2 linked regions of the Drosophila melanogaster genome follow. The protein of the gene in region 1 interacts with the protein of each later gene in a pairwise test. Each region holds a gene or a part of one and is shown in the gene's direction. Other genes may lie near its edges.

What was found.
Region 2: the proteins of CG42748 (region 1) and Pp1-13C interact in a two-hybrid assay, tested with the Drosophila melanogaster proteins (one study listed by BioGRID).

Annotation. Positions count from the first base shown.
Region 1 is NT_033779.5:22,132,791-22,141,072, forward strand, and holds the start of CG42748 (uncharacterized protein), read left to right. Parts: upstream 1-1,542; 5' UTR 1,543-2,317; intron 2,318-7,330; exon of another isoform or gene 7,331-7,573; intron 7,574-7,928; 5' UTR 7,929-8,033; coding exon 8,034-8,181; intron 8,182-8,282.
Region 2 is NC_004354.4:15,356,829-15,365,025, reverse strand, and holds Pp1-13C (protein phosphatase 1 at 13C), read left to right. Parts: upstream 1-3,964; 5' UTR 3,965-4,235; intron 4,236-4,304; 5' UTR 4,305-4,688; coding exon 4,689-5,597; 3' UTR 5,598-5,925; downstream 5,926-8,197.

The DNA of each region.
Region 1 (8,282 bases):
CTACATTTTTATAAAGAAAGTCCGTATATACCAAATGTATATGTTAGAATGTTACTATTTTTTATACCCGTTATATAGGGTGTATATATTCTTGATCAGGATTAAACGATCTGTCCGTCTGAACGCCTGGATCTTAAGAACTTATAAAGTTAGAGAGTTGAGATTTGACATGCAGATTCCTAAGACGCCAAACAATTTTTGGCCACGCCCACTCAGGTTTAGCGGTTTTTTCCAATTGGTGAATATCTTGTTGATTGGAAAGCTGCCGCAGATTTCCATGTAGTTTTTCGAGTATAACATACATATGTACATTACATACATATGTACACATAATAGTCGCCTTCGCACACTTTTCTAGTGCGCTTCGTCACTATCGTCCACGGTAGTATATTAAGGGTACTTCAGGCACTACAAAAAATATCTTATTGCCTTCGATGTAAGAGATATATCGCAGAATGGTAATAATATCTACACTTGCAATATAGTTATTATCCATAGTCACAATAGGTCTTACCGCACTTACTACATAAATATGTACATACATATGTTGGTCGCCAAGGACTTTTACAGATTTTAATTTGTTTTGTAATATACAAGAAATAAAAATAAAATTTAAAAAAAAGCTCTTTTGTTTGCAAACAATAATCTGATTTTGTATTGATTACTTAAAAAAATTTTACGAACATTTACATATACATATTTAACCTATATTTCAAATAATTGGTATTAAATATACGCGTATATATATGGGGAACATACTAAAACTTTTAAAATTTTAATAAAATAATTAAAAAATTTAGAATTAAACTTCGATTTAGTGTTTTGTGTAAAGAGTTTCTTGACAGTCTCAAATATGTGCAAACTTGGAATTTGGTGTTTATTTTCTTGTATATTTAATATTTTTAATTTGATTTGATTTATAAGTAAAATAAATATTGTTTAATTATATTGAATAAAAAAATTGCGTTTAATTAAGCAAAAAACCTTTAATTTTTAGCTTTAAAGTCAAAAATTCAACTTATTTCACAGTGTGTAAACAGTTTCTTGACAAACTGTATATATTATTGCGTATATTTGTATGTATTTAATTGAACTATTCTAATATGTATAATATTTTAAAAAATGTTGTTAGTTTCAACGTTTGCATACATACTTTCAACCCGCTTTCAACCCATTCTACCGCTCCACTGCAGCGGTAATGTCAGATATACGTGCATATATATATGCAACATACATAATTATGTATGTATGTACAAAAATCGCAAAGCTGTCTGCGTATTTTGTTTTTGGCTTAAGTCATACCCATTTAAGTGGGTATAAAAAGGGTTCATGCCATTTTCGTCGCGCCCTTCTCTAGCCGAGATTCTTCTTTGATTCCCAATGTTTTGGAACAAGCCTGCCTGTATTCTAACCAGTTTCTTTGTTCGCCTTGCTCATGGCTTTAAACGGATCTCTCTCGTGCCTCTTTCGTGTCTCCGCTTTATCTCGGTTCTCTCGGCCACGTTTAGTCTAAGACACGTTTACAGCTTTGCTCCGCTCAATTCAGTCTCTATCTGAGCGTTGTCTTTGCGAGTTAGCCATTTGCAATCGTGCGGTCTTTTCAATGTGTCTGTAGCCGCCCCAATTACATATGTATTTCGTCTGTGGATATATGTACGATGTACATATGTATATAGGATGTACACATTTGTACATATAAATATATGAACAATGCCTATTTCTCCAGCTTTCGTTTACAGTAGTTTTGAGAAAGAAGTGTATCTGAGTGTTTACGTGAATATTGAGGGCACAAAACAAAATAGCAGAGCAAAGAAAAAATAGCTCGTTGTAAATTAGACATGGAGAACATACAATGCCTTTCAAAAAGTTATAAAAGTGACCAGAAGACCGCGGAGATTTCGTTGTCGCGCTTGTCATATTGCCCAACCGGTCAGGACTCTTTCTACTGAACATTCTATTGTTATTTTATATAAGTATCTATGTACAGATGTATGTATGTTGAAGCCGAATAAAAAATTAAGCATGGATTTGTATATAAATAAAAATGTTTACTGCATTCCCGACATATCAACAACACAATACATGTAAATGTATGTGTATGTACATGCATATGATCACATTTGCTACTAGAAAGCTCTTAGAGACCTCACCGCTTTCTATTTGAAAATACATTTACACAGTTACACAAAAAAGATATGTTTAATACGGCCATATAAAATACTGCCATCCACTGCGAAGTACATAGTACAATTTTGACTAAAACGATTCCTTTCTATGGCAGCTACGTATAACATAAAGTCAGCGATCCGCAAACAAGGTATACCGATGTATATATATTTTATACATGTATATTTTAAAATAAATAAATAAAAGCTGTGTAAATTTATTACCATAATGGTCATGTAAAAAAAACGAACCGAATAAATTATGTTTATTCCAATTTTTGTGCGGTTTGTTGTTTTGAACTTACACTGCCGCATAATTGAATAGGTTTGACTATTTTAAATTTTTTATAAAGAAAACAGTCCTCCTTGGAATAGCAAAGATTTGGTTCTGTAAATTTTGTTTTTATATTATATGTTTTTATATTATGTATGTTTTTATATTATTTATATTATATAAGAAGAAATCTCCATTGTTTTTGGCTCATCTGAATAGCTTTTACCCTTTTGACTTCTCTTTTTGTTGGACCGTGTGGTTGAAAAAGGTTGCATTCTTTTGTATTCTATTATTTAAGACATTCAATACCTGTTTATTTATAAAATGGCCGTGGAAAAGCTTTAACCGAGGTAAAGTAAAAGGCTATATGGATATGGAATCTGCGAAGAAAATAGGTCGAAGTCAAAGCAATTAGCAATTTTGATCGTAACTAAGCAGACTATATAAAAAATGAGTGGAGGGAAAAACATGCAACAACAGCATCGGAGGAAAGACTTATCATACGAACTTACCAAATTCCACTCATTCTGATGGTAAAATAAGGGAAGAATGCGAACTTAAAGAATTTGAAAAAAAAAACTCCATTATGATGCTCGAAAAAAAATCACGACTTCGATTTGCCCGAAAACACGGAGTGGAACAAGGAGTGGAAGACGGTAACCTTCTCCGACGAAAAGAAGTTCAACCTTGATGGACCTGATGGTTATAATTACTAATTTCACGATATCTTTTTATGGAACATGGTCCAGTTCCAGTTTGTCACCTCGAAGATGAACGCAAATGCGTACTAGGCTGTACCTTAAAAGGGTTTTCCAACGGTTTCTGAGATTTATGTTCATATTCAATTGACGTTCCATTATGACACTGATTTGAATCGTAAAACAGTGGATTAAGATTGCTTGAGTGGCCGCCTTGCTCCCCTCACATCAACACTATCAAACACATTTGGGGACCCTTGTTATGGAGAGTATAAATTAAAATAAAAAGTATTAAAAGTATTAAATTAAAATAAAAAAATAATATAAAAACAAAACTAACAGAACCAAAACTATTTTAAAAATGACGTTTTTTTTATACAACAACAACAACGACAATTTATTTCGCTTAAATCGTAGTCCACTTTAAGGAGCTGCAACGTTTCGAAAATTGGAAAAGGTCAAACCATAGACATTACAATAATTATTCGAAGTTCTAAATTAAATAAATTATTCTAGTGTCTTTCGTGAAACCTACTGTAAGCGGTACTGTATGTTTTCAAAGCCTCAAAAGCGTTTTTTGTCCCCAAAAGATTTAGCTTAAAGAAATTATAATTCAACTAGATGTATAAACAATTATAAAATACGTCATTTAAATTTTAGGTTAAAGTAGCAAAAAGGTCTGTTTTCGACCATATAAAGTATATATATATTCTTGGATCAACTCGGCTGAATATGACTTTCAATTCAACTTTCGGATATATATCTTTCTAGTTCTTTGTAAAACGTTATAATACTTCAAATTCAATTTATGTAACTATTTACACTGCACGAAATGCTTTTCAAATGCTGTTATGAAAGAAAAAGTGTGTTTGGAACGTTTTTTGTCTAAGCAACAGCAGATTAGAAAATATGATTAAAACAAATATATATCTTCTTAATTTCTGTTGGATTTCTTGAAAACGATTCGATCAATTTCAATTCCTAAATATTCAAATATTTAGAACACATTTCCGTAGAAAATTCGCGAAGGATAATTATTATAATTATTTAGCAACAAACACGATCACTATCCATTTTGAGCAATAGATTTTGTATGAGCGAATACACAAGTTGTTTCAGGCCCTTGCACACATTTTTATTACACTAAATTGCTCGATATAAAAAATTAATTCTATGACTTTTGAAAAACCCGCTACTTTACTGCATTAGCTTTTTAAGCTAGAGATACAATGACGGTAAACTAAACATTTGATAAGGCTCGTTCCAAAATATTACATTTTTTATAGTGTATTGTGAAGTCACAAAACACTAGACTCTTTTTACGCAATTATTAAAAACGAATTAAATAAAAAATGTCTTAAAATAGCGGGCGTGTCAAAAACATCTATACAAATCAAGGAAAAATATTCAAAAGTTTGGACGTTGAGCTGCTTGAAAGCTTTCGAGAGGGTTTATGATGCGGTTCGGAAACGCCTCATTTTACCTATTTCTAATCTATTTATATATTTTTTTTACTGTACAAGTATATTTATTTTTACGTTGATTGTTTTTAATCCCGAAAAATAAACTTAATTTAACTGGCTACAATTACATACAAATTCGAAACGAAGAATCGTAAATATATTCTTACATTTTGATTCGAATATCATAAAACAAGGCGATTTCCATTTCCTGCAATTGGGTTCAAGGTTCAAGCAGTAAGGGTATGTTAGTCTCGGTATTGTGGCTTTGTAAATTTTTTCCTCTTTTGGGCTTTATGCTTAAAAATGTGGGACGTTGCCAATTACTACTAGGGCCACAACAATACCGAAATATGTGAAAAAACTTTCAGAGGCTCTGTAGCGTGAACGAGTGAAAAAAGTCAATGAACCCATGCTGTATGGTACAATTGCCTCTTTTTTCATTGCTTTTTCCCAGCAACACAATACAAGAAATTATAACAGAAAGGACCATATATTTTTCAAAAACACAGTAACTAAAATCGTAAGATCTGTTTGAAGCCAAAATCCGAAATAGCCGATACTTATTACTTGTACTTAAGTAGAATGCAGAAAAAAGATTTTGCTTATGTTTTAAGTTATACCCTTGCCGTAAATATACATACATATGTATGTACATATATTGAAATTTCTATCAGTATGTCACCTTTTTTTTGCCACTTCCAAAACTCTCACTCCCACAATTTCGAAAAATGTGCTGATATTATCTTTTTTAATAATTCCTGTGCCAATTTCTGTGGATATGCCAAAGAATTTTTTAATTTCTCGTTCGCACACCAAATAGCTTAGTAACGAGTAACCCGCCTACATCGCTCTTTCTTGCTTAGTTTATAATACTCCATATGCATACATATATTCAACATAGACATAATATAAAATAAAAATAAAAGGCTCCCAAGCCTCGTTACTAAATATGTTAGGTGTACCCACACATGTACATACATATGTAGATGTGCATGTGATAATCACACCCCAGATGTGCAATTGTAGCAACCAAACAATTGCTTGGAAAAGTTGGTTTCGCATGAAAGGTAATCAGAGATTAGGTAGTGTTGTAAATAAAATAAAATCTCTACGTTTGTGATGCCATGAACTGTAAAATCCCTGCTGAGCATAAAAATTGCTAAACCCACAAACCGCTTAAAACTTTTCCGTTCACACTGTTGAAAAACGTATTTATTTTTGTATGCCCTTGCACAGGGTATTTTGATTTCAGTCAGAAGTTTGCAGCGCATGAATTAAAGTTTATATATTCTTGATCTATATGAGCTGCCTATCGGATGTAGACATGCTTATCTGTCCGTCCATTTCAACAGAAATTCGGTCTGAGTTTTAAAGCTATTCTCATGAAAGTTGTCCAAAAGTCTTCGAGCCGGTTCGGTCGACAAATATGTAATTAGCTGCCATTGGAACATTGATAATGAATTGATAATAAAAGAAAAGAATATTCGGAGAATGTTCACCTGATTTTTGACAGCATCAGATTTAATTTTTAATTTCATCAAAATGCATTTTATCATGCAGTTGCAAAGAAGCTGCCTAAAAAAAATCTTTTGCGTGACAGCACTTCGGCTTGATAAAAGATCCAAAAAACTCTGCAGCTCTTTTAGTTCTTGAGATTTGGACTCGGCTGGTCAAGATAACTTCTGAACATCTGGGGGTAGAGACTTGGTCAATATTTCGTCAAAAAAATTTACGCATGTTTCTCATCCACTAAGTACCATTGCGCACGTCCAGTTTTAAAAATATACAATTTAAAGATGTTGAAAACAGCACTGAGAAAACTAAAATCTCTGTTTAATTCCATTAATACTCTATTTTTATACGTTTTCTTTTAAAAAAAATGTATTCATACACAGTTACATTCAACCCTTTATTTTAAAACTTATAATTTCTGTATATAAGCATCGGCTTGCCGATGCTTACTCTCTTCCTTGTTAAATTTTCTTACTTTTCTATCCAATTTATATCGCTACTCCAAACGATTATATTTAAGAATGGTTTGCTTATAAAGGAAGTTTGTCTATGTTGTATCAATAAATAAACGCCGTGATAATGTGAAACAAAATATCTTATCACTGAGTAGTATCTTATCCGTATACACTGAGTTTCCATGTGGCTGAATCATTATTTACCTGCGTTCTTTAATCTCCAACTGCGCGTATACATACCACTGTGGACGAGAGTCCACGTCGTTATGAATCGCTTCAGGACAGTGTGCGAAGGGGAATTCTATACAAACATATTATTAAATTAAAACTGACAATTAATTAATTAATTAATTAAAAAGTTATATGGTTCAGGAGACATGGTAGTGAAAGTGTATTAAAAATAAATTTTAAATATTGGTGCTAATAGGTGCTTCTAGTTGTTAACATCACCCACAAAAACACTATTCCATTTTTTTCAAATACCAAAAATTTCCTACTCCCATATATTGTCATTGTATGCTGTTTCACTTTGTCTAAATAGAAAAAATTAAAAATTTTAAAGGTAATATTATTTTTCCTCTTTTGATGCATATTTTCAAAAACTTGTCTAAAGATTTCCTTTGAAATTGAAAACTGTAGAAAGCAGTTAAAATATTTTTAGGTCTTACTGTCGAATGTGTCACCGTCTTACCGTTTTATCTTTCCTCGGTAACGAGTCTACAATACCCTTTTACTCTACAAGTAAGTAAGAATGTATCGTTAGCTAGTTGCAAAGCGTACCTCAAGCGCATTGGTTGGTGCAGCGTTTTGATTCGAGTCTCTGCAGAGTCTGCTCGCATTTTCTTCGTCTTTTTTGGCATGCGACGGTTCTAGGGAGTTCCGGCTACCTTTAAGCTGTGCGTGCACACTTTTCACACACTAGTGTATGTTTTTATTAACATTTGAGAACTACAAAGACGTGTAGTGCTCCGCTCCCAGAATTTTAGCACTTCACGGCGTGTCGATAGTAAGTTAGATAACGCTTATCATTGCTTACCATACAACTTTGTAGTGTGTTTTCAAAATTCTGTGTTATTCGCATATATGTACATAGCTTGTGTTATTCAAGAACGCCAAGAGCTTGTGATCTAATACTCAGAAAGGTCGCTAAAACCATCAAAATATGAATAAATATGAATAACAATATCGATTAATCATTGGGTTAATTGCGACTTGTCTTTCGTGGTTATATCAAATTATATTAAATGGGGCGGAGCCGAACGTTCTGTTGGCACTAAGAGATTATAATCATGGATGGCCTTGTTATGCTTTACGATTACAAATATTGCAACCTATTTAATAATGCATTTTTTTTATTGCAGATGAGATGAAAACGCAATGATTAAATCAAATTTGCATTTGCCAATTAAATACGACAGCGGAAGTGCCGATAGTGCCAATTAGCATTATTGCCACGACGCCGATCTATGGTCACAATTTGTTCCTTGTCAGCTGCACTAAGTTGTAACATTGCTTATAGATTTCCTATCTATGAAATGGAGCATTTAGATCTTGCCGGCTATCTTGGCCACACGCCTCAAAGTTGGAATACCCTGGGAACCTTTCAGGATCAAGGTGAGTGTTGCGATATTGAGAGTGAAATATTAAAATTTATGAAGATTAAAAGAAGTGAAAGCGATGTGTTGAGTTATTACAAAAAAATAAACTAACTACAA
Region 2 (8,197 bases), on another chromosome or scaffold:
TCCTGCTCCTGGATGTCCTCCTCCGCCCACCTATTCTCCGCATCCTGTTCGGCCTAAACCAACTAACTGCCTTTTTACTCGGCGCGTCTGTGGGCGATTGGCGTGGCCCTGTTTGATGCTTGTAAAGACCACTTTACCCGCCATAATAAAAATAAATCATAATATTTCCCTTGCCCCCTTCTCGTGACCATGCCACTGCGCACAGTGGGCTGAATCAGTGATTTTCGGGCGTTAATTCGCTGTTTCGAAATCAATACATGCTTCAGTAACAACAAGTGCTGTTTTGTTATAAAAATTGAAAGTTTAAGAAATTTGTGGAATATTTTATAAGGATCAAGGAGATTTCATATTTCATATGCTCATATGGATATTCAAATGTGTAGTTACATTCGCTTACTAAAATATGGTTATAATATATATACAAAATATAGGGATATATCTAAAGTATGTCTTATACATAGACTTCTTCTTATAGCAGACAGAATATATCTGATATATATATCCCATCTTTATAACATATTTCCAACCACTGTACCATACCTTTGTAGCACCAGCAAGTTCTGGATGCTGGCTGCGTGCGCTACTCCGGATCTGGTTGCTGCTCGCTGCTTTCCGGAGGTTGTAACCCCGGATAATGTACTTAATGCATCTACATATTAATGTCGCACCGCCTAAAAAAAAAAGAAAGGGAAAGGGGCCTTGGTGAGGTGCGGTGAGAGGAAGTGCAGGCTGACGAAAAAAAAAGGGAAAAACAGGGGAGAATTACACGGGTGAATTGAGGAAACCTGTGCCACCTCCGCTCCACTTCCCGCACGCCTGCTACTTTGTATGTAATTTCTATTACCACCCCCCGCCACCCACACCCATGGGCGTACGTGGAATCCCTCGTGTCCTTGTGTGTTATGCCTGTGTGTTTGTGTGTGTGTGCAGCGTGTCGTTGTGCTTTTTGTTGTTGTTTTTATTGCACAGACTGGCGACGCAGCGTGTGATTGCCACTTTCCCTCTGCACTGCAAGAAAATGCCCACAACTGGCACTGAAATCAATTAATTTTGGTCTAGAGATGGTTTCTAAAAGCACACCGAGTGCACTTCATTTTGTTTAATATATATTATCTGATCTCCTAACTTCATAGTTCTAATAAACAAATTCAAATCAATTCAATCATTATAATCGATAACTTAATAAAACCCCAATTTAAAAAGACGCCTCATATAATCTTGTCCAATCCTTGGCTATACTAAAACTATGCCTTTTTGAGCGCTCATATATAATTTTAATAATATATATATATTACACAATATATTACAACGTAGTGCAGATTTTCTCCCGGTGTTTTCCCACCCCCCTTTTTCGCTTTTCCCTCCTCACCTGAGCCGCTGCACTTGTTCCATCGCCGTGTGCGTGATGTGAAAGAAGGCAACGCAATCGCCGTGAAGAAGGGTGGTTGCGTATGGCTGGGCGGAATTTTCACCGCCCACTTGGATGTGTCTCCCAGTTGGGCGGGCCGGAAAACAGACGGCAGAGGGCAGCCGTTAAGCTGGGACCGCAATGTGTAAAAAATTACGAGCAAAAATTAAAGCTGGGGTGGGCGGAAAACGTTGGCAGGTGGTCGCCGGAGGCGGGAAAACTCCGCGGTCTTGCTGGTTTTCCACGCTTTTCCATTGCTATTATTTCCGCTCACACGCATGATGAGCCAGCGACAATATGTTGCCATTAACCCTGCAAATTATTGCAGTGTATGCGTGAGTATTGCCACGTTTTTTGTTGCTCGACAAAGTTTATGAGTCGTCTGTGGAAAGTCGATACACTTGAAAGGAGGTGGAAAAACAGGCATGGGAAATTACAAGACAATCTGCGTTATCGAATGTAAAGGAAACACTGAATTGTTCTCGAAATAACAGCCATTATAATGAGTTTATAAAAATGTAAAGGTCATTTGTTTATATTTACAAATGCATCTCATTTTATTAATTTTGTTGTGGTTTTAGTTCCAGTTCTAGTTCCATTACAATAGTGAAAAACTTAAAAGTCATATTTTAATTGCATAAAAAATTATATTCTTGATAATTTCAATAAATTCATAAATATAAAAAAAGCCCCTGTGACTTGAACTGCTTGCTATAAATATGCTTAAGTTTATGGCAAATTTTCAATGTTAGTTAGAGACAATGAATGTGGGATGCTGTTCCTTCGAACAGCGCAGAATATCCTGGGAATTCCCGTGAAATCTAGCTGCCTTCAACCACCCGCTCCCCTCCCCCTCATCCAACCACTACACCTACTTGTGATCGAAAAGGCGGAGGCAAAAAAAAAAAAAAGAAGGTAAAAAGGTAAAAATGTGAAAAGTAAAAGTAAGTAAGGCCATGAATCGCAACCCCCTGCCAAAAAAAAAAAAAATAAATAAATAAAACAACGACAAGTAGGAAAAAAGTTGGCCGCTGGCTGCGCGTCTGGCGGATATAAAAATAAAATAAAATCTATTAGGTGGCGAACCACCCCACATTTATGCGGCAATTTGTTGCTCCTTGATTGTGTCTGTGTGCGACGGGGTGTCCTTTCCGTATGTGCGTGTGTGTGTATGTGTAAAAATAAGTAAAGTAAAGTGTATCATTTTCCCATTTGGCGACCCCTTTTCGCATTTCGCCCCTGTACACAGGCACTTCTCGCACTTTGTCTCAATTCCCAAAACTGTCGCCCCGGCCGTTGCAATTTATGAAGATTTGTGTGTGGCCAGGATGCCAGCGCAGGGTGGGATGCCCAGGATGCAGGACTCTGAATATCACTGGCTCAGAAGCTCAGGGCTCAGCACTCAAGAGTCTTGGCCCACTCCCACTCCCACACGGTTTCGTTTCGACTGCACTTGTTTTGATTTGTTTGGAATAATAACAGATGCTTGCCGTTCATATTATTCATTGTGGAAATTATTAGCGCTTGACAATAAAAATGGCTATTTGAACAGCACTCGAAAGTGAGTGCGCCCCCTTACTCCCCCTCTCACCGACAATCCCCCGCCGCACAACACAAATTGCAATTTGTGCAAATATTTATGTACATTGAAAATTACTCATTTGTGTAACACCAATTAATTTCAACAAACAGCGGCGGGCGCACAACAATGGCCAAGCCATTTATAAAACTTGGCCGCTTGTTGTTGGTCCCTGTTGTCCTTGTTGTCCTTGCTGCCTTGCTGGTCAAACAAATGGGGGAAAATGAGGTCCTTTGTTTCCCCAAAATAAACGATGCCGCTGCTGTTTGAATGTTTGAATGTTTGCTTTGCGGTGCGCCAGCACACGATACACACTGTACAGTGGAGCCCTTCGCCAACAGCCGACAAAGCAGTTCAATCAGCTCGAACAGCTCGCTATTTATGTAATATACTTATGTGTACATATATATATGGTATATATATGGTATGTATGTGAAAAATGCGGGGTTATTGCCTCATTATTGGGACACTGGAAAATACCCTGTTTACACTGCCATTTTTCAAGTTGCGCCAACAAATTGCAGCTAATTAGTGGCCACACTAGCCGGGAAATCCGACGAAATAAGCTCATATACAATATACCAAAACCGGGGTGCACAGCAAATGGCACTCGGCAACTTCAAGTTTTCCACTCAATCAGAGATAATATGAACAAATGGGCGAGGGTCAGACGAGGGTCGGCACACTTTTCCAGGGGTGACCAACTTAAATAATACCTTTCTAGTACTGCAAACGCGGGATGTAAGACAGCTTATAAGGATGGTTAAGGTATCGTTTATTTTAGTTTAAAACCTAGAACATGCGAAGAAAATACAAATAAATGCGTTTATATAATATATATATTTTCTATTGTAAAAGTTTCTGAGAAATCACTATACCATCACATTTCCATGAAACACGAACTGGAACAATGCGATGTAGTCACTGACTTGTCTGTCGTCGATTTGTCATTCGTTTAGTCTTTGAAAAGTATAAAGGTCACCGTTCCGGAATCAAAATTTTTTTTAAAATTTTTAAGATACCGCAAAAGCGCGAATGTAGAGTATTAAAGTGCGTTTTAGTGAACAGCACATGTGTATCCGATCAGATCCTCAATTTTCATTAACTTCCGGAGAAGCGAAATCGAAAAAAAAAAAACACGATCTAAAGACGACTGCTAGTACAGCACGCAGAGGTCAAATGTCTAGATTCTAGAATTTAGATTACAACAGCTGGACTTTGCACACCACTAGAAGGAACTTAGAGAAGGTAGGGTAATCGATTTCAATCGATATAGCTAATCAAGCTGTCAAACCTTTTTCTTTTCACTTTTTCTAGAAGCGAGAATTTGTCCTACATTTTTATTAGGCATTTTGTGAAAGAATCAAAAGAAAAAAAAAGCTGAACGCTAAACAATTCACCGCCACATATCGAGAAGAAGCAATTCCATTCGGTTATGTTCTGGTATTGAGCACCTGGTATTGAGTAAATCGAAAAATTCACAAATCATCACAAAAAGTGCACGTCATCAGGACATACATTTTGCTGCACCCAAGAAGCTAAGTTTGTGACCCAAATAGACCAGCTCCGCCGAGGATCCAGTCCCATTCTCCAGACAGCCGCGATCTCAGGGTGAGTCCCTGACAAGCAGCCCCAACGGCGTCCCAGACGATTGTCCTATCCAGCCCGGACAACGCAGCCGCGGCCCCCAAGACCGAGGCCATGGCGGAGGTTCTCAATTTGGAGAGCATAATTTCCCGTCTGTTGGAGGTGCGTGGCGCACGGCCTGGCAAGAATGTCCAGCTGTCGGAGGGTGAGATACGGGGCCTGTGCCTCAAGTCGCGCGAAATACTGCTGGCACAGCCCATACTCTTAGAGCTGGAGGCGCCGCTCAAGATCTGCGGCGATATCCATGGCCAGTACTATGATCTGTTGCGTCTGTTCGAGTACGGCGGCTATCCGCCGGAGGCTAACTATCTTTTCTTGGGCGATTACGTGGACAGGGGCAAGCAGTCGCTGGAGACCATCTGCCTGCTGTTGGCGTACAAGATCAAGTATTCGGAGAACTTCTTTTTGTTGCGCGGCAATCACGAGTGCGCCAGCATTAATAGAATCTATGGATTCTACGACGAGTGCAAGCGCAGATATACCATCAAGTTGTGGAAGACATTCACGGACTGCTTCAACTGTCTGCCAGTTGTGGCCATTGTGGATGAGAAGATCTTTTGCTGCCACGGCGGACTGAGTCCGGATCTTACCTCGATGGAGCAGATCCGTCGTATTATGCGTCCCACCGATGTTCCCGATCAGGGACTACTCTGTGACCTGCTGTGGTCCGATCCGGACAAGGACACCATTGGGTGGGGCGAGAACGACCGTGGCGTTAGTTTCACCTTTGGCGCCGAAGTTGTGGTCAAGTTCCTCCAAAAGCACGATCTGGATCTGATCTGTCGTGCCCATCAAGTCGTCGAGGATGGTTACGAGTTCTTTGCCAAGCGCCAATTGGTCACTTTGTTTTCCGCCCCCAACTATTGCGGTGAATTCGACAATGCTGGTGCCATGATGTCCGTGGACAATACACTCATGTGCTCCTTCCAAATCCTGAAGCCTGTCGAGAAGCGCAAGAAGTAGAGGACAGCGAGATCTGTAGACGCTTCTAGATTTATTCTTATATATTGTAACACGCGGCACGCGACTCATTCACAATATCCTACACGAAATCGGTTCGAAATCATAATATCCACATACATCTCTAGTCAACCGGATCGAGGGAAATGGCTCAACTACAACGTATACCTCCATGGATCCTAACTGTCTTCAGAGGTATCCACTAGCCAATTCTTGCATATTGTATGATATGTGTAAGTTCACTGAGATTTGAACGCAGAGCTTATGCTTAGCTAATGCAAAATAACGCCATATGCGACTTTTACAAAAATAAACTTACATTTAAAATTTCAAGTGTTTTCATCTAATTGTTGTTTTTTTTCGATTTCCTAATTAATCTTGTCAGCTAGTTTATCCAACTCTTAATTTAAGCACCTTTCCCAAATGTGGAAGCCCTGAAAAGTGTGCTACGAATTCCGGCGGAGTGAAAAGTGGGTGATCCCCCTGAAAAAGAGATTCACCTCCATCTGTTCGTGTTCGGTGACAGAAGTCACCGCCATATTATATTAACAATGCTTAAAAATTAACAAAGCACACGCACACACATGCACACATGCACACGTAAAATGAGTGGGCGATATGGGGGCGTAAGAGAGAGGGAGCGAGCTGGCAGACAGACGACAAACAAAAAAACAGAGACAAAGATACAACAAATTGCGCCAAAAACGCTTTATTATGTCAAAACAAGATGAAAAAAAAAACAATAGAGAAAAGGAACCCAGTGTGGCAACAACAAATTACATTATATATATAATGAGGTCATTAGCGCGTAAACAATCAGAAAAGAAAGTGGGCAATGAAATACAAAGGGTGGGAGCGAGATGGCGGTAGAGCGTAAGGGAGACCAAAAAGAAAACAAAGTCACATGTTTATCAACAAACGGCAAATAAATAAATGTTCTTCGCAAATTTGTTAATAAATCATGAAGTTGACGACCCAAGTCGAAGAGAAAAATTTGAGCAAGTGAGAAGAACAGATTGTCAGGAGAGAAAAGTTCAGCGGCAATTCAGTACTCTTATTTATTTTTATTTCATAAATAGATAGCCCTATTTGTTTATTTAAATTATTATTTAATATGTTTATAAGAAGTATTGTTTAATATATTTAAATTACATTTTAACAATGGAAGATCTAACATTGACGTATGTATGTAGATTCTTATAGTTCATTAGGTAATCTGTTCTTTTGTTAAATATAATATTATTATCCTGACTACACCATATCTATTTAAGCTAATCTTTAATTTTAAATGCCAGTAAATGTGGTAACATTATTCCAACTAAGCTACCAAATTTAATATTCAACTTACTGGCCAAATCCGGACTCTCTTTGCATTTCCAAGAGTATTTCTTGCTTAAAATGGCGTCCTTATGCACACACACACACTCGCACGAAAGGGATATGTGTGTGTGAGATGCTCGGTGTTTGTCGCTGCTGCAGAGCAGATACCTATATATGTGTATATTTCTATATGGATACACGGATATATATGTACATGTTGCAGTAGAAAGGAAATCAATGCAGACAACATTTGGCAATTTGGTAGCAGTGCAATTGTTTTCTCTTTTTCCGGTTAGCTACTCGCATTTATTTGTATCCTTTTTGCTGCAAATTGCCTTCTATTGTTGCATTTGATTTGTCCTCTGGACGAAAAAGAGGTGGAGATATATGGCATGCCACACCCACACACCCATGCACACACACACACACACATACATACTCACTCCGCCATCTCGCTCTGGCTCTAAAGTTTTGTATCTGGGATTCATTGTTTCGTATGCACTGGAAGAAATTTAAGTATCTCTTCATCTACAAAACATTGGTTTTTTATATAAGCGATTTATAAAAAATGTTAAAAGTTATTAATTAGAAATTAGGCACATTTTTTCTATTATATTGTAATAATCTTCAAATATATTTATTTTTTTCTTTTTTTTTTTTTGATCACTCAAATATTGATCTACTATTTAGAAACCTTTGTTAAAATTTCAAACTTTAATATTATATATTTCAAATTATATATTTTTTGAGTTAGTTATAGTACAATATTTCAAAACCTTGTGCAGATTTATACATTAATATCAAATCATTTTGTTAGCTAGAACTCAAAGGCTAAATTTAAATAATTTGTTAATCATTTCGGTTTTAATATTATTAATATTAAAATAAAGTCTTTAAACTCAAGCTCATAATGATATAATTTTTGTGTTCATAATATAACTGAACTTGTGCATTTCTTTAATAGTAAGCATTTTTCCGTTTTTTTTTTCTGACGTCTTTCTTCAGCTTTAAGTTACAGATTAGCATCCTTTGGTCGCCTTTGAATAATTTTATTAATTACAAATTATGCGCCTAATGAAATGGCCAGCAGAGGGTGTGTTGGTGATGTGGGTGGCTCTGCGGGCGGATTCCATGGCCATATCCTTCGATGCTGACGTTGACGGTGGCGTTAACGTTAACGGTAAAGTTAACGCTGGCAGCGACATCGGCACTGCCCACATGAATTTTGCATAAGCCCCAGCCAACCACAATGCAGCACATCCCGCTGTCCGACTCCGGGAATC